Arabidopsis thaliana: one gene and its partners. The protein of the gene in region 2 purifies or fractionates together with the protein of the main gene of each other region. This does not show direct contact. Each region holds a gene or a part of one and is shown on either strand. Other genes may lie near its edges. The genes, in order: LON1, SIM and PPR336.

Region 1 (9,949 bases), 8.2 Mb from region 2:
CAATAGATTCTTCGATGTCAAGAAGAAAACCAAATTTTCTGTGAGAAGAAACCAAACTTGTCTATGAGAGAAGATACAATGTTTAAGAAAGCCCTCGAGCTTTCAACTCTGTGCGATATCGAAGTCTGTGTCATACTTTATAGTCGTGACGGAGAACTCATCAAGACATGGCCGGAGGATCAATCCAAGGTTCGAGACATGGCAGAGAGGTTTAGCAAACTACACGAGAGAGAGCGACGCAAGAAAAGAACCAACCTTTCTCTGTTTCTACGTAAGAAGATCCTCGACAACAGTAAGCTCTCGGAGAAAGTCTTAGAGATGAAGGATTCATTAGAAAGTGGTCTACGGGTACTACAAGATAAGCTTCTGTTACTACAACCCGAGAAAAACCAGACCGAGTTAGGTCAGATCCCCGTCATCAACAATGGACAGAACCATTGGTGAATATCGGTGTGTCAAACACAGAGCAAGACCTATCGACGTCACCATTGAGTCAACATCAGAGCAAATTTTCAGTCTTTCTCTATAACCATGACAACTGTAGCTTCTATCAAGTCCGTGCCTCTGTTTCTACTTCAGATATCAGATTATATGAGGTTAATTGTCTGATGAAGAGTTTGTGTTGAATTGTATGTTTTTCCTAAGTATGAATGCTATCTTCTCAATCCTATTTTTGTCTGAGTACGAACTAAGAATATATATACATTTCATTACATAGTTTAATAGTCAAATTACCCATCATCTAATCCAGTAGAAAGGAATATAAAACAGAAAATTATGCCAACAAGTTACTAGTCTGTTATGAAGTGTGATCGAACACATAGCAACAGTGAAAGTAATACGCGAATATGTTGATGAAATTACAAGCACAAAATGAGAAACAACTTTGTTTTTTTTACTTTGTTCTGATGTCTTATTATGATATTTGGCTTTGGTTATATACCAAAATAATAAAATCCAACCACCAATAAATTACCCTAATCATAAAAAAAAAGTTACAGAATAACTTTCTTCTTGAAGGAAGAAAAAGATCAAAGAGAATCAAGAATGGTAGTGTTGTTTAAATGGAGACAACAACAGATGACAAAAGGTCAACGTGGCTTATGTGTGTTCTCAGTCTTCTTGTTTGTCATAGCCAAAGGCAAGCTCGAAGATCTTTCCATAGTCATCCACGAAGTGAACATTAAGCCCTTCTTTCACATTCTCTGCCAGCTCATCAAAGTCTCTCCGGTTTGCCTCTGGAAATATTATTGTTTTAATCTGACTCCGCCTCGCCGCTATAGTTTTCTCTTTCACCTGTAACATTTTTGTGTACATTGTCAAAAAAGGAAAAAAAAAGAGAGGCTCTAATAGAATAGAGTGAGAGAAGTCCGGAGTTACTTACCCCACCAATAGGAAGAATTCTTCCGGTTAGTGTGACTTCTCCAGTCATTGCAAGGTCCTTCCTAACGGGTTTCTTCGTGGCAAGTGATAGTAAAGATGTGATCATGGTGCAGCCTGCACTTGGACCATCCTTGGGAGTGGCTCCTGCAGGAACATGGAGATGAAGCTTGGAGTTTGCAAAGAACTGATTCTCTGGTTCTTTCTCTAGCATGATCTTTCTGGCGACTGTGTGAGCAATTTGTGCACTTTCTTTCATCACATCACCGAGCTGACCCGTTATATTCAGGCCACCTTTACCTTCCCCTTCCTCCACAACAGTCGTCTCTATGTACAATGTTGAACCACCCATTGATGTCCAAGCTAGACCCATCACAACACCTACCGGTGTCTGCTCATAGAGCTTCTCTGCATGGAATACCGGTTTTCCTACATAATCCGCAAGGTTTGACTCATCAATCATAACCGTTTCAATAGCTATCTTCTCGGTTTGGGCCTCTTCCTTTGGTTCTTCAGCAGAGGACACAGTGTTTTCTTCGACAGTATGATTCTCTATGGATTCGCCAACATCAGCCACGATTTCAGCTTCTTCAGGATCACTTGCAACTGCAGGCTCTTCGGGGACTGCTCCTTCACGCACTAATTTAAGTGCAATCTACAACAGAAAAGTAAATGGTGTTCGACATTGAGGGCTTGAGGAATCAATTCGGAGTCTTGTAGCAAAACTTACCTTACGGTAAATCTTCTCGATCTGTTTCTGGAGATTCCTAACACCTGCTTCTCTGCAGTAATTTTCTATCAAGGAAAGAAGCGCTGCATCACTCACCTCAACCTGCATAGTACGAACAAATTGACGAAATCTTAGAAGTATGTGATTCATTGATAATCACTCACTCATTTTAATTTACCGAGAGTTAAAAGAAGAGACAATTGGAGAATAGGATGAAAGTGAGACCTGTTCAGGCTTGACACCACAATCTCCACGTGCAGTTTTTTCCAAATAGTCTCTTGCGATATGAACTTTTTCATCAGTGATATACCCAGCAATAGAAATCACCTCCATTCTGTCTAGCAAAGGATTTGGAATCATGTCTATCACATTTGCTGTGCACACAAATAAAACCTGTAGGGAAATGGATCAGCAATTAAATTCAATCGGCCTAGTATCACATGAAACAAAATGGTATTCATATCCATCTATTGGTGGACAGAACATCATGAAGAAAAGAAATACAAAATTTGGTCCTTGACCACATTTAATTACCTTTGATAGATCTATAGTAACGTCGAGATAGTGGTCCAGAAAATTTGCGTTTTGCTCTGGATCCAGAAGCTCCAACAAAGCACTGGCCGGGTCACCAGCATGGCCTCTCCCCAGCTGCAAAGGAACAATATAGCAATTTATTGCAGAGAAATTTGTCTTTGGTAACTAGAGATTGAAACAGTATTGTACTGATGAATAAAAGAAGCTACCATATGATGACAAATATCAAAACAAAAAATATATTACCTTATCAATCTCATCGATTAGAACAAGAGGATTTGCTGTCCCCACACTCTTTAGACATTGCACCATCTTTCCTGGCATGGCGCCAACATATGTCCGACGATGCCCCTAAACATGTAATTACAAGAATGGTTTTTTGTTTCTAGGAAAGAATTCAGTCACAAATGTTTGACTAATATTTGCAAGTATACCAAAACAAAGGTATTATACCTTGATCTCAGCGACATCTGCTAACCCTCCAACAGAGAACCGGAAAAATTTGCGATTAAGAGCACGTGCAATAGACCGCCCAATACTAGTTTTGCCTACTCCAGGAGGGCCGGAGAGGCAGATGATTTTCCCTGGGGACACATTTACTCAAATTTAAGGGGACAAGTTTTTTTCAACAAGATCAAATCACAATTACTGGATAAGTATCAAACCTTGTGAAGTGCCTCTAAGTCTTCCCACTGCAATAAATTCCAGTATTCTTTCCTTTACGTCAGATAAGCCATAGTGATCCTCGTCAAGAATTGTTTGCGCCCGTGCAACATCAAAGTTTTCATTACTGCAAATTTAACAAAATAGATTCCTCAAATCAGTGAACACAAAAACAAATGGTGCCATGAGATGAGAGCTCATCCGTCTCTATATCAGTCTCTCATACCAAAAGACTTACTGCTTTACTTAAACAGAAAAAAAAAAAAAGATATATGAAAAGTAAAAAACCTGTAATTTCCCCAAGGCAATATGGTCAACCAATCAAGGTAGTTACGCGTCACGTTAAACTCGCTTGAACTCGCCTCTAACAGCTGCAGCTTTGTAAGCTCTTCTTCTATGACTTGTAATACATGCGCTGGAATTTTTTCCTTGTTAGGCTCAATCCTTTCCTTAAACTTTGCTGCAGTAAAGAACAGACTATAAGTTGTGGTTGTCATACAATTAACAGTGCACGGCTCTCCAAACTCATACCAAAGACACTGACGTCTCATGAATGCATTGTGATCCATGAGGCAGTGAAATTCTAAATTTCTAACTAGGATATAAACTGACTACATGTAATTGAAGATAGTTTAAGACTTTAAGTTCGTACTGACCAGAAAGTGCAGATTTGTCATCTGTCTCCACACCAAGCTCCTGCATTGGATGACTTAAATGAATCAAACCAAATATGTATATATATTACACAGACATGGTATGTGGATGAAAATAGCAAGCATATTTTGTGAAGCGGGCTGAGTAATACCTTCTTTATAGCCTTGAGCTGCTCATTTAGCAAGTAACGACGTTGCTCACCGCTAATTTTTTCTTCAATTGCTTTTGCTATGGTTTCCTATAAAAGGCTCAGAAGATAAGAATCTTATCCCATTCAAACAGTTACCGGATAAGTAGTCCCTTAGTGGGAAAGACACAAGAATAAGGGAATGAAGTACCTGTATCTTGCTAATTTCCATTTCTTTTTTCATCAATTCCAGCGTCAACCGCAGACGTTTGTGAACCTGGGTCAATAAAAACAGAGATGAGAGATTGACCAAGAATCATACAATTACAACAATAATGAAGCTCCTTACATCCAGTTCTTCAAGAACTTCTTGAGCTTGATGCCTATTTGCGCCACATATCGCCGCTCCAAAATCAGCTAGTCGTGGATAAGTGAAATCACCTATATGCTACACAAGTTGAAAGACATCTACTAAGACACTTGTACCCTGAGACCTTTTTACCAGAACAGGTGAAATTATGACAAGAACATGCCTGGGTATATGTCTGAACGTGATCTCTCCATAGTGAACTTGTCTTCAGTACATCCCTAAGAGTTGAAATAACTTCAAAAGATGTTGCCTTGACGACATCATCGTCCATGTCAAACGGATTATCCTGCACAGAGAGTAAGAAAAGGTTCCTGACTTCAGAGTTTCAAATAGAAAAAGCAAAATCAAAGTAGTCTCATATTATAAGAGGAAAAGCCTAAAAGCAGAAAAATGTACCTTAAGATGATCGACTTTGACGGTAAGTGGTTCTTCGCTCACCTGTATAAAGGAAAAATTTCTCCCTTAAACCAAAAGTGTCTTGATCAACCAAAGAACAGATGTGAAGATGTACTTTCGAGGATTTGGAACTTTCATGGTTGAAAATTCTACAAAGTACGAACGCTGTTATACCGACTTACCATCTCTTTTATGCGAAGTCGCCTGTGACCAACAAGGATAACTTGGTCTCCTTGGATACTTGAAATCTGGAAAATCAATAAGGAAATCGTAATGCTAGTCATGCTTTTTAATTTGAACAAATGCAGCAACACAATACCTGAGCAAGTGTGCCAACTTCGTGAAGCCGGTTAAGCAACTCTTTCCCTTTCAGCTCATTTATGTTTTTTTCTGCGTCAGTGCTTGAAGATGAATCAGCTGATGGGTCATCCTTCAGAAGGAAAGCTCCTGCATATGGAGCTTGTCGTCTTCTGCTCTCTTGTAAGGCTGCGAGTACTTTAGGATCCTGCACACCAGAAAACGCACATGCTGGTCAGAGAAGCAAAACCTGACATCTCCCAAACTATAAAGATCGTGTCATCGCTGTGGTTTAACGGAAATAGTTTTTAGCTATTTTGTCCCAGGCGGGGAAGATTACAATTAATAAACAATGGGGTAAATTATCAAAAAAATTGCATCAAATGCGGCTAAAATTGATCTATATGTCGAAACCCAAACAGCAGATATTTCAAAGAAGGTGTCAGCTGATATGTAAGTTCTCTTCACTTTTGATTGTAAACTAGGTAATCAATGATCCATGCTCTACTGAGAACAAAATAAGAAGATATCGGTACTAGTTCTAAGGCTAGATTCAGCTCCATTTAAAGAGAATCGAATGAGATTTTGAGAACCAAACAAGGCCAAGTTTTGGAGAGTGTTTAAAGGCCAGAAAATGATGAATTGACATACCTTGACATAGATTGGCATGTAAAAACCAGGAAAAAGCGGCCTATGTGGCACCGGCAATGCTAGAACCTGCAATTAAACAACGGAAAACTCCATCAGGAGAAACATAACTCCGCTAAAATGAAAATGATCAAATGTAAAATGTTCACAAAATCCAATTAGTCTTTGCTTGACTGTTAACAACAAACCACTAAATACAGATTCAAAAATGCTCTAAGCAAACACCATAGAACAACATACAATATCAGAAGCTTCAACTTTCTCCACTAATAGAACAACAAAGATGTAAAGCACCTCATAAGCATCATCCACTCAGTTATTACCAAAGTTTACAACTTTGTAATAATTCCAACAAGAATTGAAATTTTCCTATACAATTAGATTGCCAACGATCCAATAACGCATATACAAATGCACTAACAAATCTTCCACAGAGAAAGGAACAAAAAGCCATAGTTACACAAACCGTTAAACAATCTTCAGGCCTAGGGTTAGTGGGCACAATCGCAGACGAAGATTTGGAGTCAGACACTTCAGAATCGGACTCCACCGCCTTAGTTTCAGCTTCAGCCGCCGCCTCTCCATTGGTAGGCTCAGAGCAGAAGAAAGCACGATGACCCAACGAAGTAGATCGCCGATTCCACCCAGTGATTTGACTCAACGCTTTGAACAATGGAGACTCCACTGGAGAAGACCCGACGACCCTACTTACCGGAGTCAAATGGTGGACTCGAGAGGCGGAGGAAGTGAAGAGCTTTAACATGGTGGGAGAGAAAGAAGATCTGGGGTAACAATTTCTGCGATTGAGTTTTATAAAGTTTTGCCTTTTAGGCAAGAAACCATTGGAGAATTCTGGAGAAGAAGCCTGTAGACGAAGATTAGTATCAAAGCCCTTCATAAACCCCGACGAAGCAAAACCCCAATTTTAAAGGCAGCAGAGAGAACAACACCATTTTGCCTTCACAATAACACGACGTCGTTTTGGAGTCGGTTCATTGAATTTTCCGGTTATCAGAAAACCAAACCGGTCCGGCCAACTAAAGCCGTTTGCTTCACCGCCATTAGTAAAAGATGTGGCCTTTAAAGTTGTGAACTTTATCTTCGATTTTGTTTTGATGATGCGTTTAAAGGTAATGAAGAGAATTTGATACAAATCTAGATAGCATTGGTTCTCTACTGATTATAACGACAACACTAACAGAGATTCTTGTCCTAACGAAACAAGCATTACTTACTACTGATTCTAGATTACTACGAGAAGCATCGTGATTGGCCCTAGATAAGTTAGTTCTCTACAAATCCAATAAGAACAACAAGATTACACACTTTCTACAGAGATTGATATGATCAAGTTAGTTGAATCATCTTCCAGCTCCTGCTGCTTTGAGGAAATTGTCAAAGGGACTAGCTGGAGGTAGTCTCATCATGGACCATGAATCCTGCAACATTCCAGATTCTCTCCCATAGATGTTCCCATCTTCTACTACCTGTAACAACGTGTCTCAACGTGTAAGCCTCGTATGATAAAGTTTCTACCTTTCTCTTAACCAGCCCATTTGGTATCACAAAGTTATGATCTTTCTCACTATTACTAAGGACCATAGCAGATTTTAACAGTTTGTAGTTCTAATGTGTTTACCAACTCAGCTGTTACGTACCTTCTCAAGTGCAGATGATTCCTCAAGTGAATTTCCATAGAGCCCATTCATCTGACGGTTCTCAGTGGCCAACCACCTTGAGAGCTTCTCTCTAGTACCAGTCCCAAAGGTTTCACAGCGGTTAGTCATTGTGTCATAAGGAAGCGGAGAAGTAGAGACAGATGACCCAACCACTTGACCAGCGACCTCAAGCGCCTAGATAACATATCACAAACCAATTATAAGAAGACACAAATATATATATCAGCCAGTTTCTTCTTTATGTCGAATGTGGTCTATGCTTACAGATTCCATGAGCTGTCCAATGCTGATAACTTGAGGAATAGATGGTGAGGGAGATCCTCTTGGGGGGAAACGCACAGAGAGTTCACTCGTCACTTCGTCCTCAACCATTGAACCGGCAGGTATGTCCTGTAATAAAGAAACATAAGTGTTAACAGTTCTGAATATTATCAAAATCCCAATGGAATATGGAACTTCAGAGAATAGTTTACCTCATCGAAGGACAGCGATTCCTTAGAGATACTTTGGTTTGGTTGAGGTTCAATGTTTGGCCTTGATCCAAACATAAAAGCATCATCAGGTGTAAATTGCTCCAAGATTTGCATCTTCACATCAGCTTCCTCGAGCTTAACAAGAGAGTACATAAAATCAAATCAGTACAAGAGAATCGAACATTGGGGCTTAAAAGGTATTGTTCACTAAGAAACAGAAAATATAAGATTTACCTTCGAAAGTTTAGGTAGATTTTTTGCGACAATATCGGTTATAATAGTGTTGGACAGTTCTACTTTGCTTCGCATCTCAAACAGCATTGAAGTAGCCATCTGGCTATCGCTTGAGGACCCAAAATCTTTCATATTTGCCTGTGGTCTTACGTGAAGTTGTAAGTCATCTCCAATGAAAAGATAAGGATCCACCTGAAAATTTTGAGTATATAATCAAGTGATACACAATCTCCATGGATAAAATAAAAGTAATAACTGAAACAACACATTGGGAACTCACATCACCAGGAAGTTGGGCCTTCAACATTTCACAAATATGAGGAATCTGATATATTTTGGCAGCGAACATCAGCATACTTGTGGATAAAGCAAGGATCAACCGCTTGCAAACTGAGGGTAATGTGCCTGAAAAAGAGAAAGTTTGACTGCACATAAGCGATTTCTTAAACTTTGATCAGTTTAAGAGAGTTTCATCAATCAGTACCGTTATTAAGGTCCAACGAAAGAGTCCTCAATGAGAAGAGAAGCTGGAAGGCTCGAACAACAAGCCCGTCATCAGGATTCTGTAATTAAAATAATCATGAGAAGCTTTAAGTATAGCGTCATGAAAGTGAAAACTTCCTCTATGAAAGAGAAATATTAAGAGAGCCAGAAAAGAGGAGAAACTTTTATGTTGACCTTTAGTCGCAAGGACAGAAGCACCAAGCTAAAAGAATGAGCAATAGCTTCAATGTTTGAAGGTAAGATATCAGGAAGTGCTGATTGTATCCAAAATGCAGATAACAGTTGCCCGATTTGATCTTCCGTAAACTTCATCATCGATGGTAACTGCATCACCAAACAGTATCAGACAATTGCATAAACATATGATGGTCCTTTAGCACACAACATCCAATTGTAAGCAAGGAAAAATGTTACCATATCAGCTAGATTGATAAACCCAGCAGTCCTATCAATTATGGAATTCAACTTGTGAAACTTTGGGGACGATTTGTAGTTCTTAAGATCCTCGTGAGTATTATTGTAACCATTCTTCTCAATCTTGACGCCATCCTTCTCCTTCCTGAGCTTGTCTAAACGAGCAGTGACAGATGTGAACGCAGAGGTTGTATCACTCCTCCAGTTTCTTGATTCATTAAGATAGCCAGAAGCTCTCACTGATGCAAGTCCAGCCTGAGATTGACCAGAACTTTGCAAGAGAATTACAGAGAATATTTCATGCGCTCCTACACGGGTTTCCACATTTGGATGCAGCATTGCTTTTAGAAGTGCATCAAGAAGTGTGTCAGGGAAGACCTGTACGAAAATTAAGAAGAATTAAATAAACTTTATAGATAATGCTAAACACTCAGAAGAGACCAAACAAACTTTAGTTCACCTGTTGTGAACGCATAGATGGCGATAATGCTGAAGACATTGCATGTGCAAGTATCAACAGTGATCCAACGGCTGCGCGTGAAACAATTCCTGAAGAAGGAAGACCCTCGACTGAAACAGCCATCATATCGAACAGGGGCTGTGTATTAACAATTCCTTTGGCTATCTCCCGCAGACAATCTTCAATAGAGTTTTGAATCATCACGTTCAAGTTGAGTTCCTCATCTCCAATTGATCTAGCTGTCGCCTGAAAGCTTTTCCTCAGGTGGCGACACAAGTCATTAACAAAACTTATGTCCCTAAGATACGAGCTGGTCCTGATCAGCTTTGCTAGACAACCAGCAACTTGTATGATATAAGCCTTGAGCTCAGGGTCATTGGCAACAT
Region 2 (5,194 bases):
TCCATGAAAAGTAAATCTACAATGTATACTATATTGTATTATTTAACCTTGACCTTTTTGTACGAGCTCTCAAACTTCTAAAACTTATGATTAGATTAAGAAGATTCAAATGGCCAAATAATCTATACAAATACAAATCTGATATATATGAGAAAGGTCTTGATATAATGTGAATTTTTCTAGTATCCAAGCATATAAGCTTGCTAAGTTTAGTTATGCCATACTTTCTTCATTAGAAGTAATGAAAATTTAATTAAATGTCATAAGTTTCAAAAAAGAAAAAAAAAACTGAGTTAACATGTGCCCTATATTGTGGAAATAGAATAATTTCTTAGTTAATTATCACTAGCTAGTCCAATGTCAACACATTGTTAAATGTCATTTTACCAATAACATGTTAGGAAGTGGCTACATACTGACAACAAAATTCCATAGATAAACCAAACAGTGAAAATTCAATGTCCATCAGTAACTATATGATAAATTAAATTGTGACAGATCCAATAGTGATAAGACAAATGTATAATTTTCTCATAGCTAGTTTTAGGATTAATCCAAAAGTGGAAATTATGTGACAAGTTAGACATTACAAACCATTCGCCATAATATATTTCTTATGGGTCTTCATTACTTCACTAAATTCAACTACCATTCAATTGCTACAGCATGTTTTCATAATAGTGCTAGTGAATTTTCTGCTACCTAGTTTTCAGTTAGATTATATTCTTATGTGTAATTCCCAGTTCTCTTTTAGTTGAGTATATCTAAGGAATTTATGAAATCCTTAAAACATATTGGTAGATCAACTCAACTTTTTGTCCAAAAATGGCAGTTAAAAGAGTTAAGAGATTAAGCTTCAAAGCATATGTATTGGTTAGAATAATGTTTCAACAGAACCAGAGTAATGCAAAATGAACTATTATGTAAGAAATAGTACTAATATATAATCAAATATTTTTCAACATGTAAACTTATTAATTGGTAACCGATTTTCCGAGTACGTGACGAATGGGCACCCCTAATGAATATTAGATTAATTTTCTTCAAGACGTCATCCATAACATTAAATTTTCATTAAATTACATTAATTTACAGATCCCAAAGCCGTATTTATCGCTCTAGTTGTCGGCCCAAAAATGTCAGAGATCAACATGAATTTCCGATCAACTTTGTTTGATTACAATATTACTTTAATTAATTAGCTTGCAATATAAGCAACAATCTATTTTCTATTCAGTTTATATAATAGTATTAATTTAAATAGTTGGATCAAGGCATCATTAGCTCTCTCGTGGCTTCTTACACAAGCACACGTAAGTCACGCAACTATTTACATAATCTCATCAACCAAATGGTCCAAATCACATCAACACCTAAACCATCCGTTAATTATCATTCTTTTGAACTTTATTACTTTGTTGTAACCTGACTAACTACTTCTTCTTCTTTTTTTGAACCTGATTAACTTATTTTCAAAACTTTGAATATAATTACCTTTCTAACTTTTCATAACCTTAAAGATGGTGCCATATTGATTATATTTTGTTTTAATTTTCTTACTAGCTACCATCATAATTATGCTTATGTTAATTGGATCGGAAGCCATAATTATGCGCAACATGGTAACACATAATAGAAATATATCGTGGCCGACAAAAATAATTGCTTGCAAAGGCAACTCATTTTCTCTCCTTTTGTTCGTGATATCTCAGTGTTTTGAAATTGTTACTTTTATATAATTAATAGTTATCATCATAACCCATGACACAAAATTTCATAATTCAAACTATTGATCAATTCAAGAGATTCATATATCCTTATTAAGAAAGTACATCGATCAGCTAATGATGAAAATGTACTTTTTGGCCACTAAATAAAGTAAATGCTATAGGATTTCATTGTTCAGTTTCACAACTTTCATCAGTCGATATATATAGGTTTTTTCTTTTATCCAAAAGATGATATACATACTTGTGCATGTGCCTCTCGCTGGAAATATATTTACGATGTCAATAAAACTACTGGAATTTGGTCATTCGTTATCAAAACAGCTAGCAAATTTTAGTAAAGAAAAAAAGATTCCATCGATCGATCGCACATGTATATTTATAGAGTGGGTCGACGTGTAAAGTTGATAAAAACATTACATAAAAATAAATAAAAATCGAAAAAGCTATTCGAAATTATGGAACCTTTAATGAAACGTCCAATTATTGATCATCTTCGTGAACAAGAACGGAAACTTCTTCGCCGCTTGGCCACCGTGATAGCCGTCGTGGTGGATGACGCCATCGTTTGGTTGTAAACAGAGGAGAAGAACCGCTCGATCTCATCTTTGTTGACGATGATCTCATACTTGGACAATGACGTCATAAGCTTTCTCTTGCAAGATCTGATGCCGAGAGACGACGGTGTGGAAGGTGGACGGGGTTTCTGCGGTGGAGGAGGAGGAGTGGTGGCTGTGGTGGGAGGAATCTTGTGGTCGGAAGAAGTGGGAGTGGTGCAGCCGCCGCCGTCATCATCTCTGTTGGTGTTGGCTCGGATCTTGATGGCTGGTGGGAAATTCAAGATGGGCAGATCTTGTATTAAATCAAGATCCATTCTTTTTTGTTTATATAAATATTAAATGTATATGTTCTTGAAGAGTTGTTTTTTTGTTTGTGTGTTTTAGCGTGTGCCTGAACAAATCTTCTTAGAGAAGTGGACTTGTGGGTTTCTTATATATATGTGCTTCTGTCTTTACATACATGCCTTTTTGGTTGTATATGTGTTTATCTTTAATATAATTAGAAAGATAAGCGATGATAGAAATAAATCCACACTACTGCTACTTCTCTTCATTTACATTTGATAGATAAAAGTAAGCCACATGCCAAGTTAATCCATTACTATTAGTGAAAGCTTCCTTACAATCTTTTAAAAATAATGAAAACATATATTTTGAGGAAATAGTGATGTAATGGAATTTCTTACATGCATATTTAAACAACGAAAAATTTACTGAAATAAGTAAGGAATTCATAGTGCCTATTTTTCATGTCAGTAAAAAGAAATTGTATCTTTTATATATTGGGTTATGTTTTATTAACGAACCAATAATAAAAAAAACGTGTGTTACATGAAGCTTAAAAAGCTAGACAGTAAAGAAAATTCAATAGAGGAAGCAAAGAATATTTTAGACAAAAAAAAAAAAAAAAAGAGGAAGCAAAGAATATAAGTTTTTAAGATAAAATTCAGTTGTTTTCTACTGTAGAGAAAACAGTATATGCATCTATATATATACCGAAAGATAGAAAAGTCATCTTTCCAAAATGAAATAAAAGAAAAGAAAATGTAGAAAAGAGGGTATATATTCATATTTTTAGATTGAGAGTTACATCCACTTAAAAAAGAAGAATCAAATCAAGGAAGAGGGAACCTATATAGAATTAATTTACTTTAACAAAAATATTCAAAGAACATATTTTTTTTAAAAAATATCAAACTTCTATCAATCCGAATGTAGACTTAACATGCACGCATATAATTTAGTTTTTAGAAGGATATAAAAAGAAATCAAAATATTATTTTTGGTATCCTGTTTACATGCAAATTTGTTTGGTTAAAGTAGTAACATGCATTTGTTCAAAATAAAAAAAAAGTAGCAACATGCATATGTTTAGAAAAAATAATCAACCAGTAACATGCATATGTTTAGTTGAAGTACATAATAGATAGTTTATATTTATATAAAAAAATAGTTTATATTAATGAAAAATGAAAATCATATAAAAAATGAGGCAGATATATAAAGAGATTCAAATTTTACCTCAAAGTTTTTAATCTAGATCTAAACGTAGAGGTTGGTTAGAATTTATGTCGTGTACCGCTAAGGAAACTAGAGACATGTCATGTGTATAGACTTTAGAGTTTTTGTACATGCATGATGTATCAATTACATGCATATTTAACATATATACATATTTTGTCAAATTATACAAAATTATGTTAAAATATGTTTATAACTACGATCTGGGATATAATTGCAGTCGGTTTAATCTTATTTATTCTCTTTTAAATTAACCAAGATTCCATTGCAGAGAAAGTAGCATAATTTTATTAAGTAAGATTCCATTGGTATATCTTTTAATGATACTATTGACTATGATATTAACTTTTATCCGCACGACATCTACACGTTCGTTTTAATCATGTTTTTTTTTAATTTACTTACAACAGACTCCTCATGCCAATAATCATATTTCAAGAAAACAACTATATAGTTAAATTTGAATCTAGAAGTCAGCTTATACATGATGTATGCAGTGTATATCCAGACTTTAGTTACAAAGGTATTAAGGTAATTTAGTGTACAGAGAATCTATCATCTAAAGAAATGCCACGTGTCGAATTTAGAGGAGGCATGTAGTGTGATGTAGGGTTGATCTGTGGATGGATGCGACTGCCATTATCAGACAGTGAAAGCCCAAAAAAAAAAGGTACAGAAAAAGAAACAATCTCACTGATCTTTTTCTCAGTCTCTCACCGTCTTTTTTTTTTTTTTTTTTTTTTTCATTTTTACTTTAATATTTATATTACTATTTTTTCATATATAATTACAATTTGTTTTATTTTTCTTTTTTACCATATATTTTTTTTTACATTTTCTTTACGCAGAAATGCTTGGACAGTATTTTTATGTTATGGCCTTATGGGTTTGGTATTTCGGGACCACTTTTTTCGATCAATCTTTTTGAACAACTTTTTTTTTTTTCGGTAAATCTTTTTGAACAACTTTAGTTGTTGACAACAAAATAAACGTTTGTTGTTACTCAAGCGTTCGTGATTTAAACTTTTCGTAAGTTTTTGTTGAAGATTTTGGACCATTTGGTATTACTACTCTAGCAGTCTAGCCTTATATCTAAGAGTAGATTAAAAATATTCTTCTAATCTGTATATGATGATGTATACGATACTTAAGTAACACATAGTCACATACACATTAGCGTAACCGGTAGGTTTAAAATTGAGTGCCGGTTTGACAAGAATTTCGAATATGACACGATATATGAAAGCGAAACTATTTACACAAAGATACTTTTGGTTTCAGTTTTACGCGAGTAGATCTATGAACAAAAAAAACTAGCTAGCTACTACTCGATAAAAACAAGAATGGATGTAGAAAATCCTCAATATCATATTATATTTACGTGGT
Region 3 (6,204 bases), on a different chromosome or scaffold from region 2:
CCGTGCACTATCCGCATTCTGGTGAACCAGTCTAGACTTGGTGACCCTTCTGGTAAGTCTATGTAGTGAAGAAAGATTAAAACTTTAGATTACAATGCAAAAGCTTTGATGATATAACATGAGAAGGTCACAATCTTTACCGAACAAATGATCTTCCAAAGATCCGTTAGGCATGAATTCATAAACGAGGACTCGTTGCTCGTCTTCGACGCAATAGCCAATGAGATTGACAAGGTTTGGATGTTGAGCCAGACTCAATACCATTACTTCTGCAAAGAACTCTCTTGTTCCTTGCAACCCATTCCTATCAAGCCTCTTTACAGCCACCACCTAAACTTCTCATCATTCAATCAAACAAAAATTAGCAACTTTTCGCCAAATTTCACACACTTACATAGAAGTTTTGAGAGATTGAAAAGGACCTGATTGAGGCTGGTGAGAAACCCTTTGTAGACTCTTCCAAAACCGCCTTCACCAATCATACAATCCATGCTGAAATTGTCGGTTGCAGCTATTAGCTCCTTGAATTTGAAGATTCGACCGCAGTTCTTCACGTTCCCATACTTCTTTATCTCTTCCGTTATATACTTCTGCCTGCAGCTTCCTGCATTTATCAATGTTCATAAACATTTTCAGAAACCAAATGATATGTGATCAAATCTTTGAGAAGATTGAGTTAGATGAAGAAGAGACAACGTTTACGAATACCTTTCCGATGTGAGCGAAATGTGAACAGTGCAAAAAGTTTACGGCTATGGCCTCTATAAGCTGTAAGACCTTCGTCAAATGAATCTCTAGGCGAATTAGGTCCAAGCTGATGCGGGTTGATGAAACAAGGACAAAGCTTCATCATTTTCCTTCTTCTTCCTTCCTCTGTTTGTTTTTTCTTTTCTGTTCTTGATTCTTCAGACAAAAACAAATCCTTTGTAATGAATCCCCCAAGGAAAGATTCGATCTTGTCTCTCTTACCGATCCTTTCAGATCCAAACCCTGTCTGGGCAAAACGAATCTGAAAGAAAGATCAGATCTTTCCCAGGAAAATGATGTTGCATGACACGAGAATTTAGGGGACGATCACAAAGTTTTGCTCTCTCTTATTGTTATATATGAATGTTCCCATCTCTCAAATTTGGATAAAAGGATTATTCTTCTTTTTCTTATTTTTAGGGTTCTCTTCTCTGTTCGTGAATAAGCCAACGCGTCTCTCTCTTTTAACAAACTTCCAATCAAATCTTTACTCCAAAACACATTAGTTCGTGGTAAGCATGTAAACATTAAACTTCTTTCTATATTATATAGTCATCATACTATATAATATAAACATAGGAAGACACTTAACATTGCTACAATGCTTTGACCAAATCTTACAGATAAACTGCTCAACATCTCTCTGATTCCAAATCCAAAAACTAACAAGATAAACCATTAATCTATAGCTACCATGATGAGCAAAAGATTACTATCTTCTAAGAAGATATAAACTTATTTCATTGCTGACAAATGAAGAGAGAAAATTCGTAAAATTTTGAAAATACCGATCTCGGGAACTATCTTTTGATTCATTGCGGTAATGCGGCTTCGACTTCGTTCCACAACTCAACGTTTCTAGTGAACTTCTCTTTCACTTGCCCAATAAGCTCCTTTGCTTCTTCGACTTTCGAATCCTTAGCTAGTCCGTTAACAAGCGACTTCATGATACTAAAACTCGGAACCCAATTCTTCTCCATACTCTCTTTACAAAGACTCAAAGCCGTCTCAAAGTCTCCTCCTTTGCATAAGTAATATATAAGAGTGAAGTAACACTCACTATCAGGCTTACATCCTCTGTTCACCATAATCTTAAACAACTTCTTCGCTTCCTCGAAATCATCTTCATTACAAAACCCGTGAATCAAATGGCTATACGTTACCGTATTCGGTTTCATCCCTGCAGATAACATCCCATCAAGCAAAGCCTTCGCTTCCTTAGATTTCTTCCTCTTACACAAACTCTGAATCCTAATGTTATAAGTCGAAACACCGATATTAACACCACGATCTTTCATCATCGCCAACACTTTCCCTACTTCATCACTCTTATCCTCTGCATAAAACCCAGAAATCATCAAACCAAAGCTTGAACTATTCGGCTTTATCCCTTTCCTCTCCATCTCCGCAACAATGGAGTACGACGAACTCGCTGAACCGGATTCACAAAACACTTTGATCATACGATTATAAGTCTCGAGATCAGGTTCAATTCCATACATCTTAGGCATCTCAATGTAAACTCTTTTAGCTTCTTTGTAATCCTTAGCTACTAAACAAGCAAAGAGAAGCGCGTTTAAAGACTTCACCGTACGAGAGATTTCGAATTTCTCGAGATCACGAAAAACTCTTAAAGAGTGATCAAGCATATTAGCTTGAGCATACAAAACAATGGCGTGAGCAGCAAAACGTTCCGATTTGAGATCTGGTCTGTTTTCGATGAATCCGTCGAGGAGATTCGATACAGCGGAGAAATGTTTCTTCTCGGCGAGATTCTCGACGGCGGCGGAGAAAGCGATTCGATCTATGCGGCAATCTGGAGTAAGAGAAGCTGCACGGCAGATTTCGAGGATACGATCTGGATCTTTCTCGGATTTGAGAAGAGAGAGAGCTGCTTTGCTTTTTTCTTTGCTTGTGAGAGGAGTTTTTGAATCTGGTGAGAGGATTGTTGAAGCCGAGGAGAGTGATCGGATTTGTGGTGATGCGTTGAGGTGACGGAAGAGAGATGTTGATGAACGGATTCGAGAGAGTAACGCCATTGTTGTTTTCTTAGGGTTTTAGATGAAGAAGATGACTGTGAAATGAAGAAGAAGACGGAGACTGGAGAATTAGGGATTGTTAGGGTTTTTGTGTTGTGTAAAATCTAATCATAGCCGTTGATGGGTATTTTAAAAGTCTTCACAATGGACGGTTGAGATGAAAACGAAAATTAAAAAAGTTGAGATCCGGATTTGTTCGGGGAATTGAACCCGACGTGAATCGAACACGCAACCTTCTGATCTGGAGTCAGACGCGCTACCATTGCGCCACGGATCCGGTAATTAATAGTCTCTCTAACTTATATATATTGCAGAAGATAAATTGTATTATGGTGCGAATGGTTGCTGCGGTTGAGGTGACAAATCTGGTGATGAATAAGTCACACACGCATACGCTTCCCATAAACTACTTTTTTCTACTTTAATTTCTCGATCTTACAACGGTCCAAGGCTAGAAATAAGGGGACTAATCAGATTGGTTCAGTGTTCAATCCAAGCGATTTTCAACTGGTGAGAGACTATCTTCGAAATAAGGTTGAAAAGGGGCAAAACAGCTCCATAAGAGATTGTACCAAGTCGAGTTGTGGCTTCTTCAACACGTAACACCACATCCTTTCTTCAAGTTTTAGAGAGTGGTTCTATTTTATTCCGAGTAGACAAGGATGGGACGAATAGACCGCAAGATCGCAAAGTACCCGCAATAAACGGAGAGAGCGAAGGCGGCACTTGGAGACCCATTGATTGGAAATTTCCGATCGTTGACGAAGCCGAGATGTTGATAGGTTACAGGGAGAGTTTCGTGTACCGCAAGAAACAGAATTGTAATTCCTATGGAAGTATACTTGGTTCATGACTCAGTATTATTCCCTTTGCGATGATCACAGCTTTGTCTTGTGCAGGATCCGACACCAGAGAAGATAGATGGAAGATGGTGTTTTCTTAAGGTTTAGCTGATGCATTTGATACGCTTGTGATTGGTTTTCTTTTCATAGTAAGATTGGTTTTTCCTCTTAGATTCAGTAATGTTAGGACCACATATTTTATTGTCCATTGCCAGTTTAACTTATGGAATTAATTAAAACTCCAACTCTCGATGGTTGGATTCATTTAATTTAGGGAAGTGATTGGGCCATTGTATTTGGTCCTAACTCCTATTAATCAGACGTTGAAAAGATACCCTTTCTTCTTCAACTTTTAGCTAAAAACTGACAGAAGTTGGTAAGAAGAAACAACTCACTCTTTATTTTCATATACAATCATACACTGAAATAAACTTTCAACTTTGCTCCTATATATTCTAATCTCAAATGTCCATCAAAAAAAAAACTCCCACAACACCAAGAAACCAAAAAAAAAACTCAAATTTCCAAGTCATTAAATAACAAAGCGATATACATTTTTCGATTGAAAAACGAGAGTTTAACAATTGAATATGCATCTTACAAGTGATCATCTATCGCCATATTTCGGGGAAACAAAAATTTTGATTTCAATCTGACCTCAAAACTCCCAAAAAAAATAAAAATAAACAAATCATTTCATTAATTTATTTATTGCTTCAAAAGCGGCTCACGGCTCTCTTCCCACTGGTCCAATCTGCTCGAAGCTTTCTCAACCTAAATTACAAAATAAATTTAGATTAATACCACGATTCATTGAATTCCATCATTATCATATCTACCAAAACTCATACAAAGATTTGTGCATAAAACTTTTCATTATAAACCTAAAAATGCTCCTAGATTAAAAAAATAAAAATAATTTACCTCTTTGTCCCAATCAGTTCGTAAAGTGACAATCACTAAGATTATTGTTTGCATTAAAGTACCACCAATCATCCCAGTCCATATTCCCTGCACCATATCAAACACACACATTAAATATTACAGCTATTATTATTTAATAAGGTACAATTATTGTAACCAAATTTACATGAGAAAAAATTTACCTTAGCTCCCATATCATAAGTGAAGCCAAGAACGAATCCCACTGGAATCCCCACAACGTAGTAACATCCAATGTTTACGTACGCAACAAATGCTTGCCATCCACATCCAACAGCCACACCTAAATATTGTACATCAAATTAATTTCAGTTTTTAGTACGTTTATTAATGATGTATAACGATTTGTGTGAAATGTGGGGGTTTTTTTTATACCGGACAAAACAGGCTGAATTCCATTGAGGACAATTGTGATGGCTAAAAAGGGAGATAAATCCGCAACGGCCTCAGCCACTGCTGGACTATCAGTAAACGCATAGCTGATGACGTGACGCCACGATAAGACCACGATGGCTTCGAAAACCGATAGTAAGAATGATACTCCCGTTGTCACGACTGTGGAGAACGCGGCTGCTCTCGGGTTTCCGGCTCCTAGCTCGTTGCTTACTCTCACACTACACATAAATTGAAAAAAGTGTATTATTAGTAAACCATAAGGAGCAAAACAATAACTATAGTTTGGAGTGAATAATGTTAGTTTTGTTACCAACCTTGCAGCTGCGTTGAATCCAACGGAGACCATGAATGAGATTGCAGAAATTGACATGCTGCAAAAACAAAACAAAAAAATGAGTTTTCGACAACTGGTTTGTGCAAGTGTATGCCGTTTCTAGTCAATGGAAACGACATGCGGTAAGAACTCTAACAAAACGACAAAGTGACGACAAAAACTTATAGATCTTCTACTGAAACTGAAAAAGACGTAACGAGGTGAGGAGTCGTCATTTTCGACTTCTTCAGAAAGAAAGAAATCATAAAGCACTTTAAATACTTAACCACTACAATAATTACATTTGTGTCACACCATAATGCGACAAATGATTTGTCATATGTCAGATTATAACAAACATGGAAATAAACAAATTTACAGCTAATATTCATGGACAATTTTAAATGAAAATAAATTTCTCTTTCTGCAATTTATGTTATTAAGTCTCAAAAGGTAAGAAATAAAATTGTTAAACCAAAAAACAGAAAGAAATCAAATTGTTTTTAATGAAAAAAAGTTAAATTTAAATTTGAATACTACTTGACCACTACACTAGTTAAATTTGAGTCACCTTAATACGACAAACTATATTATTGTTTTTGGCTAAAGATGCTACAAATGATTTGTCATCATAGTTAATTGTAGTATTAAAATGGAAATTGTTTTGAAAAGATACACTTTCCGACTTTAAAAGCAAAGTTTCCTGCTAAATTTCATAGACCCTTTTACTAGATTTTAGACGTTACTCAATTTTACTTTTCTCTTTTTGCAATTTATGTCCTTATGTTATTACGTCTCAAAAGGTAAAGAATCAAATCACTTTGAATGAAAAAATAATTAGAAGTTAGAAAATTGTACCAGATAGCAAGAGAATCCAAAGCAAGCTCAGGGTTCTTGAGAAGTCCGGCGAGTAAAACAAGAATCT

Evidence for each region.
Region 1: the proteins of SIM (region 2) and LON1 purify together in Arabidopsis thaliana (affinity purification with mass spectrometry, with the first as the bait; one large-scale study listed by BioGRID). This does not show direct contact.
Region 3: the proteins of SIM (region 2) and PPR336 purify together in Arabidopsis thaliana (affinity purification with mass spectrometry, with the first as the bait; one large-scale study listed by BioGRID). This does not show direct contact.

What each region holds. Positions count from the first base shown.
Region 1 is NC_003076.8:9,447,796-9,457,744, reverse strand, and holds LON1 (lon protease 1), read right to left. Parts: upstream 6,794-9,949; 5' UTR 6,698-6,793; coding exon 6,266-6,697; intron 5,869-6,265; coding exon 5,803-5,868; intron 5,360-5,802; coding exon 5,174-5,359; intron 5,103-5,173; coding exon 5,037-5,102; intron 4,897-5,036; coding exon 4,855-4,896; intron 4,745-4,854; coding exon 4,622-4,744; intron 4,537-4,621; coding exon 4,438-4,536; intron 4,366-4,437; coding exon 4,300-4,365; intron 4,200-4,299; coding exon 4,113-4,199; intron 4,004-4,112; coding exon 3,964-4,003; intron 3,768-3,963; coding exon 3,596-3,767; intron 3,435-3,595; coding exon 3,310-3,434; intron 3,229-3,309; coding exon 3,098-3,228; intron 2,996-3,097; coding exon 2,891-2,995; intron 2,759-2,890; coding exon 2,645-2,758; intron 2,504-2,644; coding exon 2,336-2,503; intron 2,213-2,335; coding exon 2,111-2,212; intron 2,036-2,110; coding exon 1,385-2,035; intron 1,297-1,384; coding exon 1,114-1,296; 3' UTR 745-1,113; and 1 more. Other genes in the region: AT5G26865 (AGAMOUS-like MADS-box protein), read left to right, coding at 64-444; AT5G26850 (Uncharacterized protein), read right to left, coding at 7,161-7,286, 7,458-7,652, 7,743-7,868, 7,952-8,086, 8,186-8,377, 8,466-8,590, 8,670-8,748, 8,864-9,013 and 2 more.
Region 2 is NC_003076.8:1,264,676-1,269,869, forward strand, and holds SIM (cyclin-dependent protein kinase inhibitor), read right to left. Parts: upstream 2,742-5,194; 5' UTR 2,683-2,741; coding exon of another isoform or gene 2,672-2,682; 5' UTR 2,602-2,671; coding exon 2,218-2,601; 3' UTR 1,950-2,217; downstream 1-1,949. Other genes in the region: AT5G04475 (uncharacterized protein), read left to right, coding at 2,345-2,582, 2,672-2,682. UniProt on the Arabidopsis thaliana protein: Cyclin-dependent protein kinase (CDK) inhibitor that functions as a repressor of mitosis in the endoreduplication cell cycle. Inhibits the kinase activity of CYCD3-1/CDKA-1, CYCD2-1/CDKA-1 and CYCB1-1/CDKB1-1 complexes in a dose dependent manner.
Region 3 is NC_003070.9:22,863,767-22,869,970, forward strand, and holds PPR336 (pentatricopeptide repeat 336), read right to left. Parts: upstream 2,901-6,204; 5' UTR 2,787-2,900; coding exon 1,560-2,786; 3' UTR 1,185-1,559; downstream 1-1,184. Other genes in the region: AT1G61860 (Protein kinase superfamily protein), read right to left, coding at 1-58, 141-330, 423-604, 709-853; AT1G61890 (MATE efflux family protein), read right to left, coding at 4,337-4,402, 4,553-4,639, 4,735-4,853, 4,946-5,184, 5,281-5,337, 6,138-6,204.